Linked DNA regions of Mus musculus. The main gene of each other region encodes a partner of the protein of the gene in region 2 in a complex. Links are inferred from orthologs where the notes say so. Each region holds a gene or a part of one and is shown on either strand. Other genes may lie near its edges.

What was found. The genes of interacting proteins can lie anywhere in the genome.
Region 1: Gtf2f2 (region 2) and Polr2c share a complex: the UniProt entries of both Homo sapiens proteins name them as parts of the TBP-based Pol II pre-initiation complex. The link is inferred for Mus musculus from reciprocal best matches to the Homo sapiens genes GTF2F2 and POLR2C.

The regions. Positions count from the first base shown.
Region 1 is NC_000074.6:94,860,409-94,864,850, reverse strand, and holds the end of Polr2c (DNA-directed RNA polymerase II subunit RPB3), read right to left. Parts: intron 4,408-4,442; coding exon 4,355-4,407; intron 3,141-4,354; coding exon 3,012-3,140; intron 2,670-3,011; coding exon 2,618-2,669; intron 2,331-2,617; coding exon 2,162-2,330; intron 2,042-2,161; coding exon 1,967-2,041; intron 1,400-1,966; coding exon 1,255-1,399; 3' UTR 609-1,254; downstream 1-608. UniProt on the Homo sapiens protein: Core component of RNA polymerase II (Pol II), a DNA-dependent RNA polymerase which synthesizes mRNA precursors and many functional non-coding RNAs using the four ribonucleoside triphosphates as substrates.
Region 2 is NC_000080.6:75,993,762-75,997,410, forward strand, and holds part of Gtf2f2 (general transcription factor IIF subunit 2), read right to left. Parts: intron 3,167-3,649; coding exon 3,148-3,166; intron 1,805-3,147; coding exon 1,660-1,804; intron 1-1,659. UniProt on the Homo sapiens protein: TFIIF is a general transcription initiation factor that binds to RNA polymerase II and helps to recruit it to the initiation complex in collaboration with TFIIB.

The DNA.
Region 1 (4,442 bases), on a different chromosome or scaffold from region 2:
CCCACCAACACATACCCATTTTTAATTCCACGACCAGGCATGGTCAAGGCTGTTTTTGAGTATGAGGGTGGCAGTGCCTGTCCTCAGTGATACAACTCTCCTGCTGCCAAGATGGCCTGAGCTGCCAGGGTCAGAGGAGGGGGACAATCAGACTGGTGCTGTCTGCTGGCTCTTCCTCAGAAGCCCAAGGGCCAGGACAGCAGGTAGCTCTGTCCTCTGGGCCTACAGTGACACAGGAAGAGTCCTAAACTTCACTGTACCGTGTGGCAGCCTTGCACTTGGGAGTGTTTAGCAGAGGCGGCATCTGGTTTTTAAATGCACTTTCTGCACTGGCCCCTTCCTGCTCAGTAGGCTGAAGATGTCTTTGGGCAGGGCTCCCGTTACCTCGGCAGCAGAGGACAGTTGGGGCCAGCCCGGAGGGAGGACTGCAGCAGGACTGCTGTGGGGAGCACCTTGCTGCTCTCCTTCACTGACCAGGGGTATAAAGCTCCAGCAGGGGGAGTCCCTTGCCCAGGCCAGCCACCCCAGGCCAGATTCCAAAACTAAGACTTTCCTATCTCCCCACACGGTGCTGAGGCTCCCTGCTGAAATGCAATTAAAGCAATTGATTTTCTAGTGCTGGTATTTATTGACTACCGTGCAGAAGGGCTATCTTTCTATTCACATCAAACCTTTTGTTGCGTGTTTCTGTTTTTTAATACTTTAGGGTTCTGATTTGTGGGAACAGACCTTGTAAATAACCACTGTTCACATGTGTGGCAGAATGATAAGGGGCCCCTCCCAGGGGGTGCCCTAGAGCCAGGGAGGTGGCACAGCCAGCCCAACTCTGTGACCCAGGAAATGACCACCCAGAGGTCAGCTAGTTTGTACAAGAAATGGGCCCAACCCTTTGGGAGGGAGGCAAAACTGGCTCAGTTAGTGGCACGATGACGCATGAAGGAGATTATGTTGTGCTCTTTATTGCCAAAAATAAAAACTTTTAAAAAGACAACTACTGTTGATCAATAAATATTCCTTCTTTTCCGTGCTGGTGTGTGTTTCCCCCCATGCTGCCTGAAAACCACTACAGTAGGGCCCGGGATGCTCAACGCTTAATAAAACCCGCCATGTCTAACACCAGTGGGACCCTGGCCATCTCCCCGATGGCCTTCCAGGGGGCAGACTGTGCAGTGCATAGCCCAGAAACTACAAGGGCTCCCGAGGCCTGAAGTCCAGCCACCGTGAACCTAGTCTTCGGAGGCAGGCGAGCCGTGGCTAGTTTATGGTGAGCACGTCACTCTGGATCTCATGGCTTAACTGAGTCTGTAAATCACTCAGCTTCTTCTTTAGCCCCGACAGGGCTGAGAGGACAATGGTTTCAGGGCGCAGTGAGCCACACGACTCCACATTGTAGTAAAACCTGAGAGACGAGAGTGGGGTGAGAGCTCTCGTGAGGCAAAGCTCCGGCTTCGGGCAGACTTCCCTTCTGTCCTCTGAGACTTGATTCCATTCCTATGAGGCCCTGAGCTCAGGACAGGGTCTTCCCTTTTCCTGAGACTCCTTATGCGCAATGGTCCAGATCCACTTCACAGCTCCCCGAGGAAGCTCCAGCTACTTCTAAAGAGCACTGCTGTACAAACCCTAAGATGACTCTATGTGCATTTCTACACCAGAGACAGCAGGAAAAACCAAACACGATGCTGGCTACAGCCCTTCAGCACTTCAGGGGAGGGCTATGGTCAGTCTTGCTCTGGCCTGAGCCCAAACAGGAAGGCCAGAAACAGCAGGGGTTAATAAGGCCCCTTTCCTCACAGTGACCGGAGAGGAAGGAAGACCAACTCAAGATGTGTATGTGAGTTTGGCAGTTAGCTCTTCTATCACAGGGTGGGGGATGGGGTGGGGTGTGGTGAGCTTGGGTGTGTGACTGCCTAACAGCCTCCCACACCTCTATTTACAATTACAGTCGCAAGCAGGCCTGGGGTCTTACCTCTCTGGCTTGCCGTTGGGGTCGTAGGGAGCCTGCGACTCATCCTCATCCAGCTCGGAATACTCACTCTTGGGCCTGAGGGCAAGCACAGGTGAGGCACAGGGGCTACTTCTGCTTGTAGCAAGGCTCTCAGAGCACTACCCACCTATCGCTCACTACAGCCACTGCTGCTTCCCCTTCCCCCCAGGAACATACCATTCCTCAGGCTTGGGATACACTGTATGCCTAAGTGCGTTGTCTGGATCGTATTCAAAAGCTACCCCCGCAGTAGGGTTCCACTTGGCATGTTCCTTGCCAAAGCCCTTCTTGGCATAGGCTCGAAGTCTCAGCTCCTGCCCCTTCCTCAGCTTGACAATAAGGATGTCTGCAGGGAGAGGTGAGAGTGAGCCAGAACAAAAAGAGGCAAGTTCTCCAACTTGTGACCTGTAGTACTGCATGAAGACAATCCACATCTTGGCAAAGGGTCCAAAGATGAATGAAAGATACCAGGCAACTCAAAGGGGCACATCTGACCTCTGCATCTTCTGGCCACCCGCTTGACTGCCCCACCTCTTATCATGCTACCCCACCCCCTCACCACCCTTGCCCAACCCCCTCACCACCCTGCCCCACCCCCTCACCCCCATTCACCCCCCCGCCCCACCCCCTTACCATCCTGCTCCACATAGTCATTAGGGTCGTTATCCCGGTTCCGAGATGTCACCTGTAGGAAGCCCAAACAAGTATGCATTAGCCTCTCACCTCTCAGTCACCTCTGGCAACTGTCTCTCAGCAAATGCAGCCTATAATCCGTCAATCCGGGGAAAGGAGGCTGAGAAGAAGAAGGAGATGGCAGAGCTGTCCAAAGAACCCAGAGGCCTTTAATGGGGTCTTTGAACAACATAGGGCACATGGCACTAATACTGCTCTGTTCAGGAACTCAGGACCAGCACGTCTAGGTGGCAGTTAACGTAGATGGTCACAGGGTAGGTTAGCATCTGCCTCATAAAGACCCACTCCAATCTGTCCCACTTGGAGGCAGGCAGAGAAGGGCAAAGACACTAACCGGAATAACCCGGGGGCTGTTGGAGATGAGATCTCGGGAGGTGACATGGCGCGTCTGGTCTTCATTGCACCTCACATCGAGAGTGAACTCCACAGAACACTCAGGGCAGAACTCTTCACATGTGCAGTCCTGAGGCAGGAGGACAGCTAGGATGAGGAGACTGGACTCTCTGCTTCTCCTATCCAGCTCTTTCCAGATTCTTCTTGGTGAAAAGGGGTGACCACGGTCCCAGCCCTTCTGGGCTGTGACATCTGGTTCACCTCAGGATAACTAACTACACTTCCTTTCCATGTTCACTGCTACAGCTGACCACTAGGGGGCCCACTCCTAATATAGCAGTGCCTAGAGAGGTCATCTCAAGGGACCAAGGTTGTATGGGACTATATAGTCCTGTTTATGCAGACCAGCTTGGCAATTAACTGAAAATACAAAGAAGGGAAAAACAGGAAAACAAACAAACAAACAAACCACCCCAAAAAACCGAAACACCTTTCAAGTTTTAGATTATTTGGGGAGGGATTACCTAGCCATAGAGGATTACAGCACAGACATGCGCTCAAGTATGTAGAAGGGAAGGGTAGAGCACGTGCAACTTATTATCTAAAAGGTTAGAGGAAAATCAGGCAAATGTAGTAAAGCATTAACATCTACTAACTACAGAGGAAAAAATAAACGGTGTTTTATTAACATTTCTCAGACAGGCATGGGAACACATGCCTTTAATAACCACAGCATGCAGGAGGCAGAGCAGGCAGATTTCACTTCAAGGCCAGCCAGAACAACATAGTGAGACTCTCTTAAAAACGAAAACAAAACCGAAAAGAATAAATGGAGGCTGGAGAGATGGCTCAGCTGTTAGAAGTACCTCCTGCTCAGTTCCCAGAACCTGAATCCAGTAGCTCACAACTGCCTGTAACTAGTTCCGGGGGCTCTGATGCCCTCTTTTCACCTTAGCCCACCTGCTCAGACACAGAGGCAGACCTGTACGTACGTAAAAGTGGGTATGTTTCCCGGACTCTTTTTGTTGTTTTGAGACAGGGTTTCTCTGTACAGCCCTGGCTGTCCTGGAACTCACACAGAGCCGCCTGCCTCTGCTTTCCAAGCTCTGGGATCAAAGGCGTGCGCCACCACACCCACCCGTGTGTTCCCTTTTGAGGCTCACTGATGACGCCTGGATGTGCTGAGAGCAATCCGATGCTCCATCAGAACCAAGGACCACACTATTAAGACATCATCTCCACCATCAGCCACAACAACTGGAAGGGAGACACCCCGGAAGACTCCAGGGAGAACAATCCCCCGGCCCCTCCCCGTGGCCCCAGTCTTCCCACCAGCACACATACCCGGGAGTACTGCAGCTTGTCCACAATGTCATCACTAGTGAGGGGGATTAAACCTGCAAGACACAGAAGAGTGCTTTGCAGAACAGCC
Region 2 (3,649 bases):
TTTCAAAGACTGACTTCAGACTGCTTGTACGCCATGCGCTGTGTCCTGAACAATTAACATAATATAAACAGCTATTGACCCTGCAGAGTCCCTTCCAAGACAAATGTGTATTTTCTACACCCTGTAGGCATAATGTTATAGTACACTGTGTAAAGATTATCCTTGTATTATTGAAATGCTGATTTCTCTGCCCCCACATTGGATTGCAATCCAGACACAGCATTGTAATGCTTATTCTAAGAATCTCCCCTCTCAAGGTTTGTATACACTTTTCTCCCCATTTATTCTAAAACTGATCAGCCAATGACTGCAAAGGGAGAATAGGCGGAACTTCTGATCCCAGCCTGGGGAGGGGTAGCAAGAGAGGAAGAGATTCACCACATGAAGAGGGCCCAGGAGACACCATGAGAACACGCTCACAGCAGAGAGAGCAGATCACACTAAGATGCAAGTATCTTGGGGATTTTGGTTAGGAGGTAGCCAGATTAGCTCAGAGGATTAGAATTGATAACTTCTCGGATATTGTGCCGTACAGCTTGCTAATAAATCTTATAGTTTCTGTCTCATTTATTTGGGAGCTAGCTACGATAAAGAAAAAACAATCACTTTTAAAATTTCTCTAACACACAACAAATTAACATAGCATCAAAGTAATAAAAGCAAAATTAATCCTTTAGCTCCGGCTTCATGTCCCCAAAGTTATACTCATCATTGTTTTATACTCATCAAGGAGAAAAAAAAGAAAAGAAGACTACATCAGTTTATGCAGCTACTGGAAATCCAACAGTGTACACAGGTTCTGGAAAGTGAATAGATCAGTTCACACGGTTACTAAAACCCAAGCTATGACAAAAGTGCTATGTGAGGTTTTTTTTTTTTTTAAACAGCAACATTCTCTTAGTATACATAGCTTACAGCTTGCTTTAAAATGTTTACGATCCAACAATATTAATGTTTTTCTTTTACATAACCAATAACCTTTCGGATAGGAGAAAATTAATTCTACTGAATAGAGGTGGGTGCTGCTTTAATAGCAATGTTCTAAATTCAGTACAAGATAAAAGTAAAAAACTAAGGAAAACAAGGCAGCAGAAGTTTCCTCCTTATTTAAGTAGCAACTGAACGGATTGCGACTGGCTTACTGAACTGTTACAAGGCCACACTGCTATCACACACAGTTTAAAACCATCACTCATTCATAGAATTTTCTAGAAGCTAATGCCAACAAAAGCTAATCTTTATAAAATATAAAGGCTTTCAAAACACAAAGCACACAAGCACAGGAAGGCAAACTAACTGATTCCCTAATACTAAGCGCTATTTAAAGCATAACTTACATTTGCTCTATATTAGTTCAGCAAAGCCAGTTAGGGCTGCCTTAGCTTGGCAGGACTCAGATTCTTAGAGAGCAGCTCTTCCATCTGTTCTGCTCTCTACGTTTATACCCAGGGGAATTAGCTCTTCTCAGGGGATGGTCAACGTTTCATCACAAAAACAAAACAAAACAAAAAAACCTTACGAGAGCAGAAAAGTGGCATGACACACAGGTAGACAAAACAGTAGGTGGTGTTTCCAACAAAGCAAATAGGTGTGCAGGCCGGTACAGAAAGTCTATACAATACACACGGGCACCATAGTGGATAATTCTGTCCCCCTTACCTGAGGAGCTCTCCGTAAACACTGTTAATGTCTGTCCGCCAACACTTTGCAAGACAAATGGGTGTTCTCTAGGAGCACTGACTGAAGCTGGTTTCCCACCGATGTCATGAATATTTGCAAGATCCTCGTTCAAAGTAAATGATACCTAAAGGCCAAATTAACCAAAGCTTACTAAAACAGACATTTATATTCAAAATATCTATACAAACATTTTGATTGTGAATTATTTTTTAAAACCTTTTTAAAGATGTGAGTCTCTTAATTATTTATTTCTTAAATGTCACCATGAAATCCTTAATCTCAGTCATAAACAGAAGGTTTATCCCCACGTGTCATAATGATGAAGCTTGTCTACCAATGTCTTCTCTAGTCTGTGGCTCAAGAAGTCTTTCTAGAACAAGACTGAAGTTACTTTTTTAGTGACACATCCCTAAGACCTAACATGTGCTTGGCACATAGAAGAAAAGCTGAGTAAGTATTTTTATACTGAAAAATCAACTGCACTTGAAAAATAAAAGGAGCAAGCTAGTTACTCTAAAAACCTTAAACAGTCAATGCATAGAATAAACTCCATTTTTACATTAACAGCTATTGTATGAATATATGATATCTATTTTTAAATACTTTAAAATATGCCGTTTAAAAAATAATTTCAATAATATTGTAAAGTATAGAAAGTATTCTTTCTAAATGATCTATTCCATATGCCATTACTCCCCTAAAGAATAACTATTATATTAAAAATATGTATAAAAATCTATAATTTTTTATTACATATTTTCCTCAATTACATTTCCAATGCTATCCCAAAAGTCCCCCATACCCTCCCCCCACTTCCCTACCCACTCATTCCCACTTTTTTTTGGCCTTGGCGTTCCCCTGTACTGGGGCATATACAGTTTGTGTGTCCAATGGGCCTCTCTTTCCAGTGATGGCCGACTAGGCCATCTTTTGAAAATCAATAATTTTTTAACTAGACAGGAAGATCATGAATTGACTATACAGCTACTATTATGATAGGTACCATATACATAGTATGAATTAGACTCAATGGTTCAAAATCTAACATGCTCAAAATTCCACACCAAATGTCTCTGTCCCACAGAAGTAATGCTAAAGTATTCTGTTTCACAGTGCTGAAAGGGAAACAGGTTCAAAATGAACTTCGAGGCCCTTTCATTCCTTCAAGGAGTACTTAACACCTGTATGTATTCATGACCATCAGGATATTTTCATTTCAACTGGAACTTTCCAGAATGCAAACAACTACAAATAACTAAATATTCTCACTGTGGTTTGGCTGTTGCTGCTGATCTTTAAGAAACAGGATCTGAGGTGGCCCAGGCTGGCCTGGAACATGCAATGCAGCAAAGGATGCTCTTGAACTCTTGATCCACCCACCCCTTCATCCCAAGTGCTGGCATTACAGGAATGTAGCACCATGCACAGCTCATGATTTCAGTAAATTTTTCATATAAATAATCTTACCTCAGTCCTTCCTTGATTTCTAAAAGGGAAAAAAAATATTTGAAATTACTTAGATTGCATGTTACTTTCAAATAGAAATAAAAGTCTAAAGACATGTCCATTCTTGTTCCATTAAACTTATTTCAACTAATGTTTATCTTTTACTCATATCGGTAATCCTATTAAGAGTAACCTCATGTGTTTAGTTTATGAACTTGTACCATACACTATTAAAACCTCTCCTAGACTGGAGGCTCCAGGGAGTTTAGGGGTCTAGTGGGGTAGGGACATCCTTGTGCAGACAGGGGGGCAGGGAGGAGGTATGGAATGGGGAACAGTCAGAGGGAGGACTGGGAGGGGAATAAAATCTAGAGTGTTAAAAAAGATCCTCTCCTAATTATATTAACTAAATAATTATCTTATAATTCTTACTATCTCTAAGAATTTTTAGTCTTCAGTAGTGAATAAATGCATATCTTACTACTTCCTTTCTGAAAAGATTTCATTTACCTAGCAAAATCTT